Linked DNA regions of Rhinolophus ferrumequinum. The protein of the gene in region 1 interacts with the protein of each later gene in a biochemical or structural test. Links are inferred from orthologs where the notes say so. Each region holds a gene or a part of one and is shown on either strand. Other genes may lie near its edges.

The links.
Region 2: the proteins of FZD7 (region 1) and DVL1 form a complex in vitro, tested with the Homo sapiens proteins (2 studies listed by BioGRID and IntAct, with this or other methods). The link is inferred for Rhinolophus ferrumequinum from reciprocal best matches to the Homo sapiens genes FZD7 and DVL1.

Annotation. Positions count from the first base shown.
Region 1 is NC_046291.1:29,486,543-29,498,683, reverse strand, and holds FZD7 (frizzled-7), read left to right. Parts: upstream 1-6,364; 5' UTR 6,365-7,344; coding exon 7,345-9,069; 3' UTR 9,070-11,167; downstream 11,168-12,141. UniProt on the Homo sapiens protein: Receptor for Wnt proteins.
Region 2 is NC_046292.1:489,638-501,686, reverse strand, and holds the start of DVL1 (segment polarity protein dishevelled homolog DVL-1), read left to right. Parts: upstream 1-6,069; 5' UTR 6,070-6,144; coding exon 6,145-6,314; intron 6,315-11,527; coding exon 11,528-11,597; intron 11,598-11,782; coding exon 11,783-11,904; intron 11,905-12,049. Other genes in the region: MXRA8 (matrix remodeling-associated protein 8), read left to right, coding at 14-319, 405-506, 658-1,128, 1,376-1,534, 1,718-1,757, 1,840-1,916, 2,031-2,111, 2,331-2,356. UniProt on the Homo sapiens protein: Participates in Wnt signaling by binding to the cytoplasmic C-terminus of frizzled family members and transducing the Wnt signal to down-stream effectors. Plays a role both in canonical and non-canonical Wnt signaling.

The DNA.
Region 1 (12,141 bases):
GTAAAGACCTTATGCAAGACTAAAGATATTCTACAAGACATCAGTGACACAACGCATTGCTTTGGAATACGAGTCTGGGTCAGTGGTCCTCAAACCTGATAATTCAAAAGAATCACCTAGAGAGCTTATAAAAATTAAATCCCCAAGTCCAACACCAGAGATTCTGACTCAAACTTCTGGGGGTAAAAAAATGTTTTTTAAACTCCTCAGGTGATTTTGATGACCATCCAGATTTGGGATCCACTGCTCCAGCTCCCATTTCATTCTTCTAGAAGTTTCCCTGGGAGCTTTCATTACTATGGTCTTGTTCCTGCAGCTTCTTCTGCTAGCTCTGTTGACTGTCATGGCCTGCCAAGATTCTCTGATGGGGAAGGCCTAATACACTGTCGAGTTTACCACCTGCACAGCGGGCTAGAGCAAAGCTCCCACATACCCTCATCTAGATTCCCACTGGTGCAGTTTCAGCAATGGGAATCATATTGTTCCTTGGAAAATTAGAAAAAATACAGGCTGGAAACCTGTATAGGTCTAATATTCATGGCATCATCACCAATCTGGACTTGATATTCCAAGCCTAGGAATTCTGGCGCTTCTTTCACTTTTGGAATGGCTTTTGATAAGACCCAGTAAAGGACAAAAATTAGTGATGTTCACCATGAAGACATCAAGCAGCAGTGCAGTATAAAGGCAAAAATGTTATATAGATCTGGGTTTTAGGCCAGGCTTTGCTACTATAAAAAGGAGCTTATAGCTGGAACCTCAAAGGATTGTTATAAAATTAGAGACAGCGTACCTAAAGCACCTGGTACCTAATAAATGGTAGTCATTCTATTAAAAATATTTTAAGATGCTCAAAATAATCTAAGCATCAATATTTTTGATGCCCAAAATAATCTGAAAAGAATAAATTCTGTGAACCCAGGCATGTGCTAGAGCCAGCTCTTAGGGGATTGTGAAAGCTGAGTATGTGCACCTTTTCCAAACTCCTAATTCAGTGACATTGTGTTGGCTTGAAATCAGCTATATTAGCAATATTTACACCATGGAAACTGGCAAATGTCGAGGGCTTTTTTGTCCTGGAGAACCGGTCATTAAATGTTTACCAGGATATCACTGTAAAAACTCACAACCTCAGCAAAAAGCCAAGGCCACAAAAAAATGCACCTACCGTGTTTCCCTGAAAATAAGACCTAACCAGAAAATAAGCCTTAGCATAATTTTCAGGATGCCATCCCCTGAACATAAGCACTAATGCATCTTTTGGAGCAAACATTAATATAAGACCCGGTCTTATTTTCGGGGAAACACAGTAACTTGGTCTTTCATTTTATCTCTATGATTTGCATCCATATAACCAAAGCAGGATTCTGCCCTCATGATTTTTTGCCTATAGATAACAAAGCATTTCGGTAAATATTATCTTATTCTCACAACACCCTGGGGGAACAAGGGAGGTTAAGTGACTTGCCTGAGTCCAGACAGAAAATCGATGGTGAAAAGCAGGACCAAACCTATCTGTACAAACCACCTCTGCCACCCTTCCTACACATCTGTACTGTACAGACTGGCATTAAAGGCATGGCTAGCAATTACCAACACGGCTTTCACCGCATAACCCAAACAGCCAGTCTCTTTCTACAGACTGTGGTCCCAGTGCTCTGTCTTTTGGGTATAGATTTGACTCCTCAAAATGGCCCACCCTCTGCACTTTGAGGTTTTTCCCTCAGGATTGCAGATGGTCTTTTATTAATCAACTTCCTCCGCGTTCTTTCTCCCTCTAGTCCAATGGCATGTGTTTGAAAAAAAGAGTTGGTCAGAGTTTGGGTTCTGTTCTGACTCTAAGAGAGGCAAGTGGCATCATAACCTATCAACATGTGTTTTTATTTGTGACCCTTTCTCTGGACTCCCCAAGGCCAGAGACCCAAGAGTTGTCTCTCTCTGTGGCCTCATCTCCATAATATTATGCTTTGAGAATGAATGAATTATCCTTTTGGTAAACCATCTCTAAAGTGGCTCCCAGAGATCCTTACCCTCCAATGGGGGGTTTTCATGCCCAGATGAAACCCCTGCTGCCCTTTGAGTGTGGGTAAACCTAATGACTTGTTTCTAATGAATAGAATATGGCAAACGTGATGGGATGTCACTTCCAAGATTAGGTTACAGAAAGACTATGACTTCCATCTTGACTGCCATGTTTTGTGCTTGCTCGCTCTCTCTCCCCTTCTCTTTCTCCCTCTGAGCACTTGCTGTGGAGGAGCAAGGTGCCATGTTTTACATGGCCTTAAGAGAAACCTACATGGCAAGGAACTGATGTCTGACCAACAACCAGTGAGAACCTGAGGCCTGCCAAAAGCCACGTGATGAGTTGGAAATGCATACTCTCAGGCCTGCCAATAGCCACATGAGTGAGTTTCCAATCGAACCTTGAGCTAACATAAGTCCCAAGACGCTGATTGTAGTCTCATGAGAGACCCCAAGCCAGAGGACCCACTAAGCAAACCGATTCCTGACACACAGAAACTGTGAATATTAAAATTTTGTTGTTTTAAGCTGTTAAATTTTGGGGTCATTTGTTATATGACAATAGATAATACAACCCTCAAACAACAAAGGAAATGGGAAAATGGGAAAACATTTTCACCTCTAGGTGTGCTAGACCCCACCCAGTAGAGGTGATTTACATCTCTACTGGGTGGGGCCAGCACACCTAACAGGACTTTAGCATGGTTCTCCCCTTATTCAATCCAGACATCTCTAACTTTCATAACACTTGAAAGTCTGCATTAGGGGTAAGAATGTTCCCATTTTAGGAGTGATCCAACACCCCAAACTAAATTGAGAAGAAGTCAACGGCAACCTGGCGGCTGGAAATTCCAAGTCCTTCATGTTATGAAGTCACAAATTGGTAAAAGAGAGGTCAGAAAGAGAAGTACATGCTAAAAGCAGCCCTTTCTGGTCTTGCATGAGTAATTCTTGCTGCTGAAGTTTCACTACAACCACAGGATTGTGGCACCATAAAGGTGGCCATTTTCAAATCTGGCCTGACATCAGAATGTAATTCAACTAAATGAACCTGGGACTTGGCCAAAATAAGTAGCATTTAAATAACTGGGGCCAATGAATAGCATCACTTTTCTGTGGGACCATATGACTATAATATGAAGAAATAAAAGCCTTTGTTGTTTTAAAGGGCAGGGATAATTGGAAGTTTTTGTAGTAGACAGTTACAAAAATTTCCACCCTTCATGCACCAAAGAAGATACCAGTTAGTGGCTTCAGGAGTTGGCTGTGGAAGGTGTTATTTGGAAAAGAAAATTAAATTGATCCTGGACACAATGTGAACCAATGTTACTATGTTTCTCATAAAGCCTAAAACAGAGTACTTAGCCCCTAAATTGTAAACTTACTTTTCTGATCTACTCCCTTTTATTACTTAGCTCCTTGAAATCATAGCATTCTTTATCAGGCAAGGCGTGGAAAGCTACCGTACCCCTCTCACAAACAGCAAATTCTGATTTTCCAGAATAATTCTGGAGTGGGTTTTTTAAAATAAAATAAAAAAATAAAACACTCTCCAATAAATTGGCCTTTGCATCTCTGTTTTTTTTGCACTTGTCTGCCTGGAGCAGACCAAGAAGGACTCCCATCTACGATATTTTCTGACCGGTATGGGTTTTGTTTTTAAAATATTTTATGTCTTTGGTAATTTTTTTTTAAATTTATTGGGGTGACAATTGTTAGTAAAATTACATAGATTTCAGGTGTACAATTCTGTATCACATCATCTATAAATTACATTGTGTGTTCACCACCCAGAGTCAGTTCTCCTTCCATCACCATATATTTGATCCCCCTTACCCTCATCTCCCACCCCCCAACCCCCTTACCCTCTGGTAACCACTAAATTACGTTCCCCAGATTAATTTTCAAAACCCCGTGGCCATCTTGTGGTTACTGATTGTTTTATAATCCCCTCACCTTCCCCCTTACCCCCACCCACCCCCACCCCGCCCATCTAGCAACCCTCAGTTTTTCCTCTTTGTCTCCAAAACTGTTTCTGATTAGTTCATTCACTTATTCTTTTCTTTAGATTCCGCATATATGTAAGATCATATGGTACTTATCTTTCTCTGTCTGACTTATTTCACTTAACATAATGTTCTCTAGGTCCATCTTTGGTAATTTTTTAAGGGCTCTCTTTTTTCTTCTAAATAATTATCCCTATTACCTAACATCAGGGAGTTGTCTGGTCTATAATATGAAGAGTAGAAGCTCATCAACTAAACTGGTTTTAGTTGTATTGGAGATACAGTATTTTATCCTGTCGGTTTTCATTTTAGTTGATGACAGTGCTTGCAATTTCTCCCTCAATAAGCAAAGGTTACTTAGATCGGGGACCTGATGAATAAGCATGAAAATTTGATTTAGAAAAGGAGGATATCCTGAAGCTCCCGGAGAGAAAAAAGGATTTTCAACCCCCCACCACTTTAAATGACAAAGCAAAGCAACAGCATTGTCTTTAAACAACATCTTTGAACACAACATCAATGTTCCCCAATGTTAGGTACGAAGAAGAATAATTTAGAAAGAAAAAGAGAAGCCCTTTAAAAAATGCAAGGAAAGAATGAAACATTTTTAAAGCAAGTATCACTCATCCTTCACATAGGAGACAGAAACCTCCAAAGAAAAAATATCGTCGCGGATGTGAGGGGGAAACGAATGCTTTGGAGGAAAATGATGAGGACTCCTGTTGAGGGACGGATGGAGAATGTGAGGGTCTGATGCCCAAATTGGCGCAAATGATTCAGACCTCCAGACCCATTAACAGGAGTGGGAAAGGACAAAGAACTGTGAATTGGAAGGAAAGATTTCCAGTAAATTTCAGTAATGAAAAATAAATAAAAGAAAAACAGAGGAAGCCGAAGTCTCTCATGGAAAGGAACTCAGTTAATTGTCTTAGATTTCAGGATCATTTTTTTCTTGCTGGAGAAGAGGCTCGCCGGGGGCAGCAGAGGAAGCAACTTCTGCAAACACGAAACCTGATCAGAAATCCCTCAGAGCTCCAGCGCTTGGAATTGAGACTGGCAGAAGGAAGGACTCAGCCAGGAGTAACGTTTTTTAAAGCATACGATTGCTCTGTGTGTGTGTGTGTGTGTGTGTGTGTGTGTGTGTGTGTGTGTGTGTGTGAAAGACGGAGAGAGAGAGAGAGTGAGAGATTTTTCCTTTCTCAACATGTCACTTTCCTGCATGGGAATTCCTGATATTCCTCGCTGTCGGTCGAGAAGGGAGAGGCGTCTCCACCCCTGAGCCGAGTAACTTCTGACCTCGTCGGGAGTAACCAGAGAACGCGCGGGAGCGCGGGGTTCCTTGAGCCCAGCGAAGATTTGACCGGGAACAAAAGAACGCTTGCCAATCAGAAAACGCTACCCAAGAACAAGGATAACCTTTCTTTGTTTTGAAAACTCTTTAATTAGCAAATGCCCTGGTTTCTAACACGCATTAAAACTTTTCTACCCATATTCCAAATAGAAGATCAAATTATTGCTTCTGCAACGAAGATGGGATCCCCAATGGCCACATGCCGAAGAACAAGGGAAATCAGGGCAATTGAAGACTCGCTTTAAACCGTACAGTGTTCTGGGCACTCGATCTCAGGTTACTTTTATAACCAACACCCACCCACCCACCCACCTCCGCCAACACTTAGTTTTCTTACAACCTCACTAAAGCTACACCAGATGCCTACTATACTCTGGGCCGTGCGCGCGGGCGGGGTAGCCTGGGGCCGGGGTGCCCGGCGCACGCAGCTCCCGGGCCCTCTCCCCTAGGAGGGGTTTGCTCTTCCTCCCGCCTTAAGTCTGCCCCCTCAGCACTGGACTCCGATTTCTCCTCGGACGCGGCCCCTCCTCCTTTTTACAACCAGGAGTGGAGGTGAGAGGGGACTATGGCCTCACGTGGTCTGTTTGGGTTTGGGAAAAGAAAAGCGATCCGCGAGGCACACCCCCTTTTTCGCCCATACCGAACCCCACATTTAGGATCTGAATACCAAAAAAACCGGGGCGAAAGCCAGCATTTTCAGCCCAAGCAGGGCTAACGTGACTCCGGGTCACGTCTCTCCGCTCTGGCGCTTCGCTATTCTCAGCTTCTCCCTGCAAAAGTCTATCCCGATGCGCCCTTCTGCTCAGGAATGTGTATTTTAGTATACCCGGAAGAGGAACAAATCTTTCAAGCAAACTCCCTTTCTGGTGCGTGTACCCCACACCCACCCCCTTCCACCCAACTCCGGAGCGAATAAAGGGTAAAAGTTTTTCTTAACTTTTCTCTCCCAGCCCCCTGCCCCTCCCCTCAGGAATCCGCCCAGAGCGTTGCAGACACCGCCTCTCAGGTTCCCTCGCCCGCCCCTTCCGACTTCTACCCAATCCGAAGGTGGTCACACAGAAAACAAAGGCTGCCATTGGGCCACCTAGAACTCGAGAGCCCGCCCCCAGAGTGGTTTGTGAATGGGGGGGAGCGGAGGGGGCGGGGCAGCCCGGAACACTGCAAGCTCGACGCTTCTTCTGGTGAGTTGCGAGGCTTCGAGGCGTTACTCTGCACTCCCTCCCGGCGGGCGGCGGCGGCGGTGGGCGCCTGGACTCACCGGCCAGGGCTGTGCGGAGCTGTAGAGGCCAGGCCCAGGCCGCTTGCACGGGGGCCTCACAGCTTCGGACACAGTGTAACTGGATTTCCAAAGAGAACTCGCTGAGCTCTTGGCTTCAAGGCGCCTATTGGACTCTGAGCGAGAATCAGCCGTTTGGCTGAAACTTGGGGCCGAGCTTTTGGAGCTGAAGAAGGAGCAGGGAGTGAAGGAGGCGGCGGCGAGCAGAGCCTCGAGGCGAGGAGGCGGAGCAGCACCACCGAGGCGGCGGCCTCGACTAGCAGGCGGCGGCGCCCGGCTCTCGCCTGCCGGGGGCTGGACTTGGTGTGGGGGACGCGCGCGTTACTGTGCGCTGTTAAGTCGAGAGACTTGGGCAAACTTCGAAGGGTAACCGGAGACGCTTGTTGCTCCCCGCTGCAAAAAAAGCCGCACCGTTACGTCGCGGCAGGAGAAGGCGGCGCCCCCGGCCCAAGCAGACGAATTTGGGCCCCCCGCTGCCTCGCGACTGCTGGGCGGAGGCGGCTGCGGCGCCCCCGCGGCGCGGGCACCCCAGTTTCTGAGCCCTCGGCTCCGCGCCGCCCACGGCCCGGCCCCGGCGCCGGGAGGACTCTAATGCGCCGGGCGCGGTGGCGCCTCCCGGGATCCAAGCCTCTCCGGGCTGCCTCGTCGCGCTCCTCCGGCTGAGAGCGCTGCTGCACCCGCGGCCGGCGATGCGGGGCCCTGGCGCGGCCGCGTCGCGCTCACCGGTGGGCCTATGCACCCTAGTGCTTTTGGTGCTGGGCGCGCTGCCCGCGGGCGCCCGGGCGCAACCGTACCACGGCGAGAAGGGCATCTCGGTGCCAGACCACGGCTTCTGCCAGCTCATCTCCATCCCGCTGTGCACGGACATCGCCTACAACCAGACCATCCTGCCCAACCTGCTGGGCCACACCAACCAAGAGGACGCGGGCCTCGAGGTGCACCAGTTCTACCCACTGGTGAAGGTGCAATGTTCTCCCGAGCTGCGCTTTTTCCTGTGCTCCATGTACGCACCCGTGTGCACTGTGCTGGATAAGGCCATCCCTCCGTGCCGCTCTCTCTGCGAGCGTGCCCGCCAGGGCTGCGAAGCGCTTATGAACAAATTCGGCTTCCAGTGGCCGGAGCGGCTGCGTTGCGAGAACTTCCCGGTGCACGGCGCCGGCGAGATCTGCGTGGGCCAGAACACGTCGGACGGATCCGGGGGCCCGGGCGGCGGCCCTACCGCCTACCCCACCGCAGCCTACATGCCCGACCTGCCTTTCACCGCGCCGCCCCCGGGGGCTGCTGATGGCAGGGGCCGTTCCGCGTTTCCCTTCTCGTGCCCCCGCCAGCTCAAGGTGCCCCCCTACCTGGGCTACCGCTTCCTGGGCGAGCGCGACTGCGGTGCCCCGTGCGAGCCGGGCCGCGCCAACGGCCTCATGTACTTTAAGGAGGAGGAGAGGCGTTTTGCTCGACTCTGGGTAGGTGTGTGGTCAGTGCTGTGCTGCGCCTCCACCCTCTTCACGGTTCTCACCTATCTAGTGGACATGCGGCGCTTCAGCTACCCCGAGCGGCCCATCATCTTCTTGTCGGGCTGCTACTTCATGGTGGCCGTGGCGCACGTGGCCGGTTTCCTGCTGGAGGACCGTGCAGTGTGCGTGGAGCGCTTCTCAGACGATGGCTACCGCACGGTGGCGCAGGGCACCAAAAAGGAGGGCTGCACCATCCTCTTCATGGTGCTCTACTTCTTCGGTATGGCCAGTTCCATCTGGTGGGTCATCCTGTCGCTCACTTGGTTCTTGGCGGCTGGCATGAAGTGGGGCCACGAGGCCATCGAGGCCAACTCTCAGTACTTCCACCTGGCCGCGTGGGCGGTGCCCGCCGTCAAGACCATCACCATTCTGGCCATGGGCCAGGTGGACGGGGACCTGCTCAGCGGGGTGTGCTACGTGGGCCTGTCCAGCGTGGACGCGCTGCGGGGCTTTGTGCTGGCGCCCCTATTTGTCTACCTCTTCATCGGCACGTCCTTCCTGCTGGCTGGCTTCGTGTCGCTCTTCCGCATCCGCACCATCATGAAGCACGACGGCACCAAGACCGAGAAGCTGGAGAAGCTCATGGTTCGCATCGGCGTCTTCAGCGTGCTCTACACCGTGCCGGCCACCATTGTCCTAGCCTGTTACTTCTACGAGCAGGCCTTCCGCGAACACTGGGAGCGCACCTGGCTCCTACAGACTTGCAAGAGCTACGCGGTACCCTGCCCGCCCGGCCACTTCCCGCCCATGAGTCCCGACTTCACCGTCTTCATGATCAAGTACCTGATGACCATGATCGTGGGCATCACCACTGGCTTCTGGATCTGGTCCGGCAAGACCCTGCAGTCGTGGCGCCGCTTCTACCACAGACTCAGCCACAGCAGTAAGGGGGAGACTGCGGTATGAGCCCTGGTCCTCTCTCACTCTCCCTCCCCCCCCCCACTCCTAGTAGGGAGAAAGGCAAGGTAGGGAAAGAACTTTTGAGTGAGGAGGTTTGTTTCTGTAACCTCCTCCCCCTCCAATGAGAAGTGACCTGGAAGTGAAAACATATATGTAGATGTGGGACGAGGGGTTGGTTTGGAAAGGAGGCCTGGGTGGAAAGACGGTTTGGATGAAAAGACTTGGCAAATCAAAGACTCGCAGAATAATAATGATGATGATAAAAATGACGTTAATCTTGTACGGTACCGATTGACCTGGGCTCATGGAGAAGACTGAGACCAGCAGAGATTTCTGTGAGTTCTTCCTGGCTCCGGCTGAACTGGGTGGGACTGGGAGCGATTCCCCTGCTGCAAGACAAGTGGACTGTCCTCACTCCTGTGAGGCTCGGGTGAAAGGTACAGCTCTGTCTGCGGCGGCCGCTTTGTTGGAAAAAGGGAGGACTCCCTGCGGTGTCCTTGTCAAGCGGTGGTCAAACCATAATCTCTTTTCACTGGGGCCAAACTGGAGCCCAGATGGGTTAATTTCCAGGGTCAGACATTACACTCTCTCCTCCCCAACCCCCTCCCGCCGGTTTTTCTTCCCCTACTCCTTTCAAGTCTTGTAAAATAAGCATTTGGAAGACTTGGGAGGCCTGCCTCCTAGAATCCTAAAAGTAAGGGTGCAAAAGAAATGAAGATAGCGTTTGGAGATGATGCAAAGGAGTTGAGCAGTAGGTATTTCGGCTACTTTTTGTATTTTCTGGACAAAGCATGAGAAAGAAAGAAGGGTGTTTTATTCGGTTTAATACCCTGAAAAGAAGTGATGACTTGTTGCTTTTCAAAACAGGAATGCATTTTTCCCCTTGTCTTTGTTGTAAGAGACAAAAGAGGAAACAAAAGTGTCTCTCTGTGGAAAGGCATAACTGTGAAGACAGCAACTTCTGTTGGCAAAGTAGCACAAATCTAAGGTTTCCCTTTGGATATTTGGTTGAGGTAAACATTCCTTTTTAAGGAAAAGTGAAAGGCAGTGGGCTTCCAAACCCTGGTTGGTCAGAGGTTCTGACTTGGCTAAAGGAAATGCAAGGGGTTTTGTTGTGCTGTTTTACATAAATTCAATTCAGAACACATGATCCAATGGGCTCTGTTAAGATGTTCAGGGAAATCTCTCCCTTCATTTTTTTTCCTTCCTGTAAACCTGCATTCAGGTTTTCTTTGTATTGTTTTCCTCCAATTTGAATCCTTCAAAATAAAAGGAAGAGCATAATGCCTTCAGCTTCCATAATACAGGAAAGTTAAAGAACCACTTTGTCCTGCTTTCTTAGTTCCATAAATCCATTTATAAAACATCATGTGTATGCTGACCCTGTCATTGTGTCAGTGGGTGGGGAGGTGACCTGTAGAAATGATTGTGAATGAAGAGGACAGTTAAAACCATAGCCGCCCCCCTCCTTGTAAGGAAAGTCATTAAAAGGAGGTGAACTTCAAAGTAATTTTGGAGTTCTTTGAAATGTGCTGGATGACTTAAATTTATTAATCTTAAATCATGTACTTTTTTTTTCTAAAATAGAACTCTGATTCTTTTGCATAATAGTCTAAAGCTGAGCAGAGAATCATGGGAGCTAACCTTTCCTCCACCTTTGACACCACCCTCCAAACTTGCACCACTGTCCTATTTCTCAAAACAGTTTTTAAATGCTGTTTGAAACAGTTTTTAAATTATAGAGGGTACTGTCAGGAGTACAAGTTACTTTATGTATGTAATGTTCAGTTGAGTGGAGCTGCTTTTTATATTAAGGTTAACACTGACCTTGTGTTTCTTAAACCTCCAAAACTGTCTCATTTGTCAAATTTTAAGAACTCCCACCACACAGTTTTTTTGGCATCTTTTGTGTTGTATCTCTTGCATGTGAAATTTGTAAAATAGAGACAAGTGCAGTATGTATATTTTGTAAATCTCCCATTTTTGTAAGAAAATATATATTGTATTTATACATTTTTACTTTGGATTTTTGTTTTGTTTTGCCTTTAAAAGTCTACAAGGAAGCCCCACTTTATCACATGTACAGATCACAAATAAATTTTTTTAATACAAAGTGAACGTTTATTTAGTTTTCAGTGCATATATATAATATATAGTAATATATATATACACATATATATTTAAGTATATATATGTGTAATATATAGTAATATATATACACACATATATATATTTATATATACATATATATATATACTTAAATATATGTATATTTAAGCCAAAGAACTGAACTTTGTGTTATGGAAAGAGGTATAGAGGGATACCATTGGATGGATCCCTCATAGACGAAGAGGTCATATATTATTGAGGTCTTTTTTCCTTGCGTTTTGAAACACAGTGTAATGAATGCCTTAACTGTCCCTTAATTTTTTTTCTGTTGTTGCTGCTTCCTGCCTCCCTCCACACCACCTACCACACACTCCCTTAAACCTTTTCACTTCCTGCTTTGGATAACTTACTGAAGGTACAGAATAAGCATCTCTTTTAGAGAGGTGCTATCTGATCTATGTTTTTACTACCTTTCAGAGATGAAGTCCATATTTGAAAGACGACTGGAAGATATTTTTGTTCTGCTTTTCTGTTTTCTGCTTTTTTTGTTGTTGTTTGTTTTTTTAACTGACTGGTGATTTTGTATTCTAATGAACCTAATCTAAATTGTCAATACCTAAGTCCTTGGGTTCAGGTCATTTATACCTAAGAAAGTCAATAGATGATTCCAGATAATAGCAGGGGCCTTGCCTATGGAGGCTTCTCAGCTATAAGATTCACTCTACCTTCTAGGTCAACTGAACCAGATGTCAAGCGGCAGTGAAGGTGGCAGTGACTCAGCAGCTGTGGCAGTAATAGACGCCATGACTGACCCCAGGGTGGCCTCAGAAGCCACTGAAGCTATTCTTTCCTCTTGTCGAAGAGGCTAACTTTGGAATCAGATTAGACTGAGAAGCCTTCACTATCCACTATCCAGGCACTTCGATATTCAACAGTCCCTCAGGGAAATGATAAATGCATTCTAAAGAT
Region 2 (12,049 bases), on another chromosome or scaffold:
CCCTCCCCACCAGGGCCATCTGGGTCCTCGACAGCGGGCAGCTCCGTGGTGTCCGAGTCCGCAGTGAGCTGGGCAGCTGGCGCCCGGGCCCTGCTGCGCTGCCAGAGCCCGCGCATGGTATGGACCCAAGACCGGCTGCACGACCGCCAGCGCGTGGTGCACTGGGACCTCAGCGGCGGCCCCGCCGGCGGCCCCGCACGTCGACTTGTGGACATGTACTCGGCGGGCGAGCAGCGCGTGTACGAGCCGCGCGACCGCGGCCGCCTCCTGCTGTCGCCCTCCGCCTTCCACGACGGCAACTTCTCGCTGATCATCCGCGGTATGGGACCTTGAACCGCGGTGGGGGCTCGGGGGCTGGGCCGGCGGCCGCGGAGCTCATGGTTGGTTTCCACGCGGGTGTGCAGCGGTCGGGGAGACAGACGAGGGGCTGTACACCTGTAACCTGCACCACCATTACTGCCACCTCTATGAAACCCTGGCCATCCGCCTGGAGGTCACTGACAACCGTGAGTGCGCCCCTCCCCCCCGGACTCCACCCCCGCCTGTCCTCACCTATCCCCGCCACTGTGGACGCCCCGCTCCTCGCTCCCTCCCCCGACCCGCAGTCCTAGCTGCCCCCCCTGACCCCTCCCCCCGCTGACCGACCTGCGCCCCCAGCCCGGGTCGCCGGCGCGCACTGGGACGGCGAGAAGGAGGTGCTGGTGGTGGAGCGCGGCGCGCCCGCGCTGCTGACTTGTGTGAACCGCGCTCACGTGTGGACCGACCGGCACCTGGAGGAGGCGCAGCAGGTGGTGCATTGGGACCGGCAGCCGCCCGGGGTCCCGCACGACCGCGCCGACCGCTTGCTCGACCTGTACGCGTCGGGCGAGCGTCGCGCCTACGGGCCACCCTTCTTGCGCGACCGCGTGGCGGTGGAGGCGGACGCTTTTGCGCGCGGCGACTTCTCGCTGCGCATCGACCAGCTGGAGCCGGCCGACGAGGGCACCTATTCCTGCCACCTGCATCACCACTACTGCGGCCTGCACGAGCGTCGCGTCTTCCACCTGAAAGTCACTGAGCCGGCCCCCGAGCCGCCCCCGCGGGACTCCCCAGGCAACGGCTCCAGCCACAGCAGCGCCCCCGCCCCAGGTGCAGGAGGCCGCCTTGGGCTCCTGGGGACGGCCTAGGGGCTGGGGACGGCGAGGCCCCGCTCCTCTCTGTCCCCCATAGGGGACGAGGATGTTAGCGGAGGGGAGGCGCCCCCCCCGCCCCCCCCCGCTGAGGCTGCCTGTGTTCCCGAGCCACGTGGCGCAGCAGGGGGGGCCTGCGTGGGGGTGCACCGGGTGGTCCGCTGCGCAGCACCCTCCCTGACGCCGCCCCTACACGGCCCTCGCAGACCCCACGCTAGCACGTGGCCGCAGCGTCATCAACGTCATAGTCCCGGAGAGTCGAGCTCACTTCTTCCAGCAGCTGGGCTACGTGCTGGCTACCCTGCTGCTCTTCATCCTGCTGCTCATCACGGTCATCCTGGCCACCCGGCAGCGCCGCCGTGGAGGTGAGCCAGCGCGAGCGCAGCGGGGACGCCGGCACTGGGAAGCCTTTCCGGATCGGAGGCGGGGCTTGGGGTGCGCTGCCGGAGCCGAGGGCCAGCAGGGCGCCCAATGAGCCTCGGTGCCGGGAGGTTCCTCAGAGCTGGGGAGGGGGCGAGACTACCCCCAACACGAGTCTCCCTCCCCAGGTTACGAATACTCAGACAAGAAGTCGGGGAAATCAAAGGGGTGAGTGCCCCCTCCCGGCTGTCCTAGGGGGCCAGGCCCCACCCCATCCGCCGCTCTAACCTCCCCCCACCCTCCCCTCCAGGAAGGACGTGAACATGGCAGAGTTTGCTGTGGTCACAGGGGACCAGGCTTTTTACAGGAGTGAGGATATCCAACTAGGTGAGGGCCTCCTACACACACACCAAGGCTCCGAGTGAGGTGCCTGGGCCTGGGCCTGGGCTGGGGGAGGTACATCTTGAGGGGGCGGCTCACCCTGCTCTCTCCCTGCACCAGATTACAAAAACAACATCCTGAAGGAAAGGGCTGAGCTGGCTCACAGCCCTCTGCCGGCTAAGAACATCGACTTGGACAGAGGTGAGTGGCTGGGAGGGAGACTGCCCCTGCCCGTCAGAGCCAAGCCCATGCCCCTCTCCACCCACTCTCAGAAGGCACCAGCCAGCCCCGCGGGCAGGAATCCCCTGCCACCTGACTGCTGCAGAAACCCTGGGGCCATCCTGCCAGATGTCCGCCTTGTATCCCTCCTTACAAAGGAGAGGCAGAGGGCAGCCACCCACCTGTTCCCTTGGTTTCCAGAGTTCAGGAAGGAGTACTGCAAATAAAGTGATTGGGGCTCCTGGCTGGCTGGCAGCTCCTGGCCAGCAGCACATCCTCCTGACTGACCATCATGCAGCTCACCTGGCCCCCCTTTTGGCGGCTGGTCCCGCCCATCCTGGAACTTTGGCCTGATCAGGTGCAGAGCAAGGTTGCCTCCAGACATCTCTCTAGGGAGCCACCCTCATCCTCCAAGCTACAGTGGGCTCCTGGGACTCTGCCAAGCATTGGGGCTGCACCGGCTGTGCAGGCACTCCCTGCTGGCCCTGTCTCCCCCTCTCCCCCCACACAACCTAGCCCTCAGGCTCTGCAGGCTTCTGCCCTATGGGAGAGCCCCGCCTCTGCAGGGGCAGGCCAGGAGACACTCTAGGAGTGGGGATCAGCCTCAGGGCTGGCACGCCTCCCTTCTTCTCCCCTTCTTGTGGGGAGCTGTCCTCCCCAGCCAGGCTGCCATCAGCTCTGCATGGGGACCTGAGGACTGCACACCCCCAGCCCTCGGTGCTGTGTCCGGCCACCTGGGGCTACCCTGGGGCCCTTTCTCTGCTTCCCAGCCTGCTCTAGCCTCCTTTCCTAAAAGCTGTCTTGACAGTCACTGGGCTCCTTGTGACTTTTGGCCCCTCCCTGGGCTGGAGTCTGGGGCTGCGTCATTTTTTGGCTTCTGTTTTATCTGAGGATGGGGGAGGGCTGATAATGGTTCTCAAGTGGCCTGTGTGGCCACTGCCAACACCCCCATTTACTCCTCCTGGTAACTTACTGCCTTCACAATAAAGACCATACCTGGTTTTTAGACTTGGTCCAGGTATACCTCTGCTGCTCCCTCTCTACTTCCAGGGCAGAGCTGGGCCATGGGACCCCAAAGCTGTCCTTCGCCTGAACTCCCACTCTCACTGCCCAGTTCTTGGAGTGGGGGTCTGGGTGCTGGTGTCCTTGGAAGAGCGGAGTTGCAGCCAGTTTCTCACCACTTACTTTCAGGTCGTCTCCTGAGGGTTTGTCTAGACGTGGGGGAGGGGCGCATGTTGGTGGACATGGGGACAGAGGAGGGCAGTGTTAATTCAGTCCCCTGAGAAGCAGATGCCAAGATGGGACTAGATATGTAAAGATGCAGGTGGAGGTAGCAGGAGGAGGCAGGAACACCTGCAGACAGGTGACACCCCCAATGGAGGGGGTGGGAAGGGGCTGTGGGAGGAGGAAGCCTGTGTCCCCAATCCTGACCCCATCCTCCAGAGCCCTCCCAGGACAGCAGCAGGCAGGAAAGGGTGACTGTCACCCTATGTTGGAAAACCCTTGTATGAAGAGGCAGCAGCCACCCACACAGGTTGGCATGCAAGCTCCCACTTTGGGGAAATGAAAACCCTGGAGTCATTTTCATGAAGGCATAGTGTCAATAAAGTCATAAAAGGAAGTAAAGTCACCAGCTTTATTACTTAGTAGATCCCAGAAACGGGGGTGGGAGGTGAGTTGGGGGAAGGCCAGCCCTCCATCCCAGGTCACCAGCCAGCAGGAGATGAGAGCAGGGTAGAAGCACCTCTTACTTACATGGTGGTTGGGGGGGCGGTCACTAATTTTTCAGCAGCTCCACTCTTAGTGGTTATTTTAGAAGGTGCCTGGGAAAAGCCGGCCAGGAATCTAAGCTCGAGTCCTACTCTGAGTCCAGACTGGTGTGAGTAGGATTGTCACATGAAATGCCGGGACAGCTACTCAAGTAGCTGTTTGCTCACACCCTCTCTCCAAGGACCCACAGTGACAAGGCAAGAAGGCACGCTGGCTTGGGGGCTGTGGCTTGTATGAGAATGTGCCTTCCTCCCAGCCCAGTGACTCCTGGCCCCACAATGCCCACCACTGCCACGGGCAAGGTCCCTCCTGTAAGGGCTCCGGCTCTGTCCACAAACTCACCCCTCCTTGCAGAGCCTGGCCTGACCACAGCGGTATCAGCTGGGATTGGCTACCAGCTTCTCTCCTGTGACTTGGACTGTCAGGTGGAGGCGAGAAGCTCAGGGGCATCAGATGCCCTGGATCTGTGTGACCAGCAGCCATTTGTGTCTGGTCTGGGGGGTGCTGGTCTCCCATGAGCTCTCAGGGCACGCATTGTCTCCCTCTTTCCCTGGACACACAGCAGAGAGCCGTGGTGGACCCTCCGTCTAAGGCTGCCCTGCCTGGCTTCCTCAGATTACCTCCGGGCAAACCGAGACCTAAGGGAGAAGGCCCAGGCTTTGCAGAATGGGTGCCAACCTCACAGAGCCCTGTCCGCTCTCCCCATCAGAGCCTAGGGGAATGGAGGGCAGGACCCCTGGCCTAGGCTGGCCTGGGGTTGGTCCCCAGCCTGGGCTCAGGGACTTAGGTCCAAACTTTGGATCCTCCAGTCACTGGTGGACTGGTGGGGTCTTTTCCTGCGGTGGCCCACTGCCTGAGGATGGTCATGACCAGGCATAGGGGCGAGTCCCAGGCTCCAGCCATCTTCAAGGTGGGTGCTGGGAAAGGGTCACAGGGCATCACAACCCCCCATCCCCATCACCTCGGGTCCCATCCTAGGGACGCTCCTCTTGTCACTCGCCAGCGTAGGACTCCCTCTGGTGGCCTCCAGTCTTCCTCTTGGGGTAAGGGGGAGGGAGAGCCACTCACCCCAGTGGAGGGCTTGACCCTTCACAGCCTGAAGGGCGTGGCTTCAGATCTCTCTCGACCCATGGAGGATCCCAGGCTGATTTGATTGACAGCGGCCGGGGAAGAAAAAAATGCCATTACCTGCTACCTGAAGCACCATGCCTGGGCACCTCTGTGCACACGTACCCGCACACAGCTGTGTGCTGACCCCTGTTATCTTGGCATCACATACACCCGCACTCCCCACTCCACCGCCCATTCACTTGGCCCGTGTTTCTCTGAGCCCCCGTGGGTCCCAGCAGAGGGCGCGCGATGTCGGAGCTGGCGCGGGGGCGCAAAGCGACCAGGTGTCCTCGGATCCGGGAGGCGACACAGTGTCCTCAGCTTCCTCCGAGGCCCCCTGCAGCCCGATGATGTGACCAGGAAGCTGCGACTAGGAAGCCTCCGGCCTCTGAGCACCCACAGACCCGGGAGCCCTTGCGAGGGGGTGGAGGGCCGGAACCCCGCCGAACCACACTCCCTGGAGGGCTCCCGGCGGGGCGGGGCGGGGGCCGGGGGGGTTCCCTTCTGACAGCTGGGGGCGCGAAGTGCAGGTGGGTCTCCACCCAACTCCCCGGGGGGCGCACCCCTGTCCGTCCAACAGCCCAGCGGGGCTGCGGCCCGCGAGTGTTGTGGGCGCCCCCGAACGCCCCGCCGCGGGGCTCGGGACTCAGGGAAAGCGCGCTGGGGGGCCGCGCGCGGGTGCACGCACCTTCGTCCCGTGCACCGTGGTCCCACCCCCCACGCACGCCCCGCCCCCCGCGCTTGCGCAGCCCCGCCCCGAGCCGCAGGCGGCCCGGTGACGTCAGGCGCCGCTGAGCTCTCGGGCGCCCCCCGCGGGCCGCGCGCTTAGCCGGGCGCCGGGCGGTCCCTGGAACTGCGCGGCCCGAGGGGGGCGGCAGGGCGCACGGACGCGGCCGGGCCTCGCGCGCTCCCTGCCTGCGTCCCGGGCCAGGGGCGGATGGGCGGCCGCGGGCCGCGGGTGAGCAGCCGGAGCGCGCGCAGAGCCGGGGGCGGCGGGGCGGGCGGGGCCGGGGTGGCCGGGCCGGGAGCGGCAGGCGGGCGGGGCGCAGGCCAGCGGCGGGGAGGCGCCCGCGTCCGAGCCCCGGGCCGGGCCTGAGCGCCGCGCAGGCCCCGCGCCCGCCGCCGTCGCCGCGCCATGGCGGAGACCAAGATCATCTATCACATGGACGAGGAGGAGACGCCGTACCTGGTCAAGCTGCCCGTGGCGCCCGAGCGCGTCACGCTGGCCGACTTCAAGAACGTGCTCAGCAACCGGCCGGTGCACGCCTACAAATTCTTCTTCAAGTCCATGGACCAGGACTTCGGGTCAGTGGGCCGCGCGCGGGGTCCGCACTTGTCTGCGCACGGACAGGGCTTTAGGGATCCTGGGGCTGCGAACCGGGACGTACCTTCGCGCCCTGCTGTGGTGTGTGTCCACCTGTCTGCGCGCTGAGCTGGGGACGCATGGGCCCAGACTGCCCCCAGCAGCCTGAGAGCTAGGGACGGTCGTCTGGCGAGTGTCCTGGCGTCTCTGCCCACCCTGGGCCTGGTCCTATGTGCCTGAGTGTGTGTAACCGGCGGGTCAAGGTCTGTGTCCCAGAGCCTCCCTGCAGTCCCACCTTGGCATCTTTCAGACTCAGGGCCCTGCTCCTTCCTGTGGAGGTCAGGTGCTTAAGGCTGACCTGGAGGGCTTGTGATTTATGGGGACTGGAGCCAGAGGTGTGTCACTGGGGAAGGGCTGGGGCTGGACTCCCAGCCACCCAGTGGGTACCCTAGTTAGCATGGGGGAAAAGAGGAAATGAGGTGATTTAGGACAGGGGCACAGACCTGTCTGCTGGGATCTGCAGAAGTTTCTGGAAGCTCAGGAAGCCTTCCGGCCCTCTCCAGTGTACTGCGGATAGGGCAGAGGTCAAGGGTCACTCTGCCAACCCCTGCCCTGGGGCTGCTTGCCTTTAGGCCTCTGTTCCTGCCAGGCCACACAGCACTTGGAGCAGCGTCGGGGTCAGCATCCCTGGGTCTGCTGTCTGCCTGCCTCGGTGGCTGTCTGCTCAGGGGACTTCCCACTTGCACTGGGCTGGGCCTCGGGGACTGTGAGCACCAGAGCTGGAGGCCGCTCTCTGCTCCAGGCCTGACCCAGCGCAGCCACCGGTAACCTGAGTCCCAGGCTCTGCAGTGCTGGGGAGGGGGCGCCCGAGGGCCCAGCAGGTGTGCCTGGCTGCCGTCAGGCGGGTAGGCAGCCGTCAGGCGGGTAGGCAGCCGTGCCCTTGTGTGTGGCTGCGTCTTGGGACTTTGACATTGAGGCCATTTCCTGGATTCTGTGGTTTGCATGGGCACTGGGTGGCCCAGGTCAGGTCTGGCTGGTGCTACTCTGCAACTCTCAGGGACCCGAGGGACATTTGGACGACTGAACTCTCTTGGGCCCCCCCTCCCCAAGGAGAGGCAGAGGGGAGGGTGTGTCCCTGGCAGGCTGGGAAGGCTGGACTCCCCTCCCCCTCCCTGCCCTGCCTGCTGGCCTTCCTGCTGGGCTCTGAAGGTGGGGCCCTGTTGGGGGGGGGGGTCTGGTCCAGCCTCCCTGCCCTCCTGGGCAGTCTCACGAAGTCCCTGCTCCTCTGGGTCTGGGTTGCTTTGACTGTGATTATTGGCTGTGTGAAAGGGGACTTTCGTTTTTAACTTAGCTTATTATTTTAACAAAAGTTACCAAAGTCACACATGCTGTCTGTCACAAACCGAAGCCAGCAGGGTGCTTGTGTCTGTGTCCCAGAGCCTCCCTGCAGTCCCACCTTGGCATATTTCAGATTCAGGGCCCTGCTCCTTCCTATGGAGGTCCCCTAGACCCCCAGCTTGCTGCCCTCAGAACATGCTCTGGTGCATCCCAAGAGGCCTGCTGCTTCTCTGGTGCCTGCTAGCCACTGTGGGTTGCCCACGAGCTGCAGAGACCCCCACCCACATGCACTCCCAGCGGAGGCTGTGCCTATTGGTGGATTTGTAGGGCCTGTGAGTGTTCTGGCCAAGGAGGCAGGTGGACAGGCCAGTGTGAGTCTTGGAACAGGCCTAGAGTTCTTTAGACTTTCTGGAAATGGCTGGGATGTGGGAGGGAATAGCACTGGGTGGGAGGCAGTGGGCAGCTGTGAGGTCCAGGTGGGCCAGCACAGGGGATGGATTGGGGTGACGTTGGAAGGCGCAGTCACCCCAAGTCACAGAATGGGGGAGGTTTACCTTGTTTTCTCCCTGGATCTCTGGCTGGTGGCCGGGTTGCCTCAGGAACGGGAGGACCCCCACAGCTGCCTCCTTTCTCTCCTCGCCTGAGATCTGTCTGCAGAGCTCCAAGTTCTAAATCCCAGAGTCATTTATTCAGTGGGATAAACCCCTTCTGGGAGGTGTGACCCATTACTCATACTTATTGCAAAGGACACCTAGGGGCCTTGTGGACGGAGTGGAGGTGGGGGGAGGGAGGGCAGCTCCCGCTGGACTGGAGCAGTGCCCCCCACCCCATGACAGTGTGGCCTCAGATCAGGGGCTGTGAGCCTGGGCCTCTTGCTCTGGCCACCCCCACCCCACTGTGGGCTGTGCCCTGAGCTGCCTGAGCTTCTGTTCCTGACCACAGCTGACCACCTGGTAAGGGAAGCAGGAGTCTGCGGTGGGGCCACGTGTGCTGGACCAGGACCCACTCCCCACCAGTGTCTTTGGCCAAGTGGGTAGAGGGTCCTGTGCCCCCCTTTTCCCATGCAGGTCATGGCTGTTCTGACCCAGCAAAGCTGGGCAGGGTCTCTGGGCCTATGCTGGGCTGGCCCTGAGCTGCGAGTGTGTGTTTGGTGAGTGGTGGTATAGGGAGGGACCTGAGCCCAGTTCATGGGCTGTGAGGTGGAAGGTGAGGGTGTTGGGCTCACCGCTCCCTCTCCCAGGGCTGCCGGGCTGGCCTTGGCACTTAGCTCTCCTGGCCGTGGCCCAGACCACTCCATCTCTGGGCCACATGGCTTGTGGGCCCTGGCTGGTGCGGTGCGGGGATTGCGAGGCAGGGGGTGGGCGCTTGGCCTGGCTGAGTCTCCCTCTGCCTTCCGCAGCTGTGCCATCTGGGGTCAGTGGCCCCCGGAAGTGTTGGTCACCCCCCAGAGCTGTGGCAGGGTGTGGAGGACTGAGCCCCCCTTGTCCTGGAGCCTGCAGCGTCTGAGCCTGGGGAGGGCTCTTTGAGGAATTGGGGGACAGCCCTTTTTCCCCTGTTGTGTGCCAGCTCTCTCTGCCAACTCCCTGTTGTGTGGTGGTGGGGGGGTACCCTCTGCCTCTGGGCACACACTTAGGGCCGTCCCACGGAGAAGGACTGGCTGTGGAGTGCTGTGGCCGTGGGAGCCCCTCGGTCCTCCTGGGCCCTGGGCTGTGCTCAGCTCCAAGGGCCCTGCTTGCAGCAGATTCCTCACCAGGGCGAGTCTGCGGGGGTGGTAGGCGGGGCGGGGCGGCCACAAGTCTGAGGTTAAGTGGGATCTTGCCAGGAATTCTGAGGTCGGGGCAAGATGCCACCAGAGGTGCCTGGGTGGCCTTCTCCGAGGGTCAGTGGAGACTGCTCCCGAGGTCTGCTCTCCCACCCGGTGAGGCCGGCCCAGGAGGCAGCCTCAGAGTGGCTAGGAGGAGTTCCCCCCGACCCCCAAGCCGACCTTGTCCCTCCCCCAGGCTTCTAGGCCAAAAGTGGGCAGCGTCTTGCATCCCACGGAGAGCCTATGCCCTTATCCTGGGGCTCTGGCACCTGTCCCTGCGTCCCCTCTGTCCTGGCCTCGCGGGGCTGGGCCTGTGGTGCCCCCCGCGCCCCACCCGCAGTGGAAGACAGCATGCTCTGTTGTGTGCTGTGGGACGCAGGCTCCTCAGGCTGGGGGGAGGGGCCGGGGAAGCAGGACCTCTGGGGACTGCCTGGGGGGCTCAGCGGCCTCAGGCAGCCCTGGGTGATGGGTCGTCTTCAGGCCTTGGCTGGGTGAAAGCAGGGGCTAGCCTGGGGAGCCAGGCAGGCCCTGCAGCATGGGAGTTCGGGATGCTCTTCTGGCCCCCTGTGTGTGAGTCTGAAAGGACGGGAGCTTGGATGTGGAAGGGAGGCCTCAGGTGGGGCCATCTGGGCTGTGTGGGGACCAGGGCCCTCCTGGGTCTCTGTGGCTGCCATCACGCAGAGATGGTGCTCTCAGCCCACTGACCCCCTGTCTGTCAGCTGCAGCGGGCAGAGTCCCAGGTGTCCCCCGCCACCTCAGGTCCTCTGTGGTGACAACCTCGCGTGTCCTTGGCCGAGTTCTGGATGGGGTCACGGCCTGCCCTGGAAGCTCAGCTCTGCAGAGCTGTAGTGTGGATATGGGGTCTGCCCCTCACAGGGGAGCAGGGGTCCAGAGAGGCGACCTTTTCTGCCAGTGGGGGTGTCCACCTTATTGGTGCATGTGGGGCTGGCCCTGGGAGGTGTCTAAGGGACTGCCGCAGGAGCCTGGCAGGGGTCCTCTCCCCCAGGCTGGCCCTGTCTCTTCCATCCACTCTGGGGCCCCCTCCAGAAGACTGGGTGAACTGAGGCCTTGCTCCCTGGCTGGGAGTGTGGGGTGCTGGCCAAACTGAGGCTGCTTCCTTCCTGGTCTTCTGCCTCCCGTTTCTCCGCTGGCCCAAGTCTCAGGCTTGGAAATCCCCCTGTGCTGGGCAGGGCTGGGCTCCAGGGAGCACGGTGTCACGGTCCCCTCCCGCTGCAGCCTCCAGCCCAGCCTGCCCTTCTCCCTGGGCCTCCAGGAGGCCGCAGAGACACAGCCCCTCCACAGCTGCTCCTGTGAGCTGTGCTGGGTGCTTACCCCTGCCTTTGAACCTGAAACCTGGACCCCCACAGCTGTTTCTGACCCCAGGGTCGTCAGTCTGCTTCTCAGTCAGGGAGCCTGGCCCCGTGCATCCTGCCTTCCCTACCCCGCACGCCCACCTGACCAGGGCAGCTTTAAAAACCTGGGCTGTGCTGGGCAGTGACCTCCGGGGCTAACTTCTCAGGGGGCCCAGCTGTCCTCCCAGGTCTTGAGTTGAGCTGGTACAGCCCGTGGGGGTCTGCTTGTCTCCCTGGCTGGGCAGGTGGCCTGCCCTCAGAGTGTGTGTGTGTGTGTGTGTGTGTGTGTGTGTGTGTGTGTGTGTGCATGCATGCGTGTGCTGTCCATCTTGGCCTGCCTGTGTCAATGGGGTCTGACAGCCCTCGCATCTATGCTCAGGCCTGCTCTGGGTCAGGGGTGGCGCAGAGCCGGACACAGCCACCTCCCACGGATCCACCCTGTGGGGCACACAGCACACAGCAAGGGTGCTACAGGCAGTGACACCCCAGTGCTGGAGGGTCGGGGGTCTGGACCCCCTCGACGGGCCCTCAGGAGGATGCTGAGGGTCCCCAGGAAGAGAATGTGCTGGGCAGGGGCATGCACACAGACTGACTTCTGGGCATGTGGCCGGGTGCCCTGGTGTGGCACACACCTTGCACAAGGGTTGGGGGCTTATCTCCAGAGCCCACTGGTGGGAGTGGGCCGCAGTGCGGGTGGTCTCATGGTGGTGTCTGCCTGCAGGGTGGTGAAGGAGGAGATCTCAGCTGATAATGCCAGGCTGCCCTGCTTCAACGGCCGCGTGGTCTCCTGGGTGAGTCTGTGGGACATTGGCACAGGGCGCTCGGCCAGGGTGGGGATGGTTTCAGAGTTGCAGGGGGGCGGGCTCAGGTGAGCTGGGTGTGAGTGGGAGGGGGCTGGTCACCTGAGCCCTGGGCGCCCTGCGAGGGGTGGCCTAGAGGCTGCTGGGCATCACTGAGCCATCGTTCTCCTCCGCAGCTGGTCCTGGCTGAGGGTGCACACTCAGACGCAGGGTCTCAGGCCACTGACGGCCACACAGACCTGCCCCCACCACTTGAGCGGATGGGCGGCATTGGGGACTCCCGGCCCCCCTCTTTCCAGTAAGAACTCAGGGGGACTGAGCCCGGTGGTCCTGAGGGGCCCCTGCCAAGACCTGTTGGGGGGTTGGGCAGCTGAGCAGGAAATCATCATGGTCAGTAGATACTGGTCAGCAGAGAGGGCGGGCCGAGAGGCCCAGACTAGACG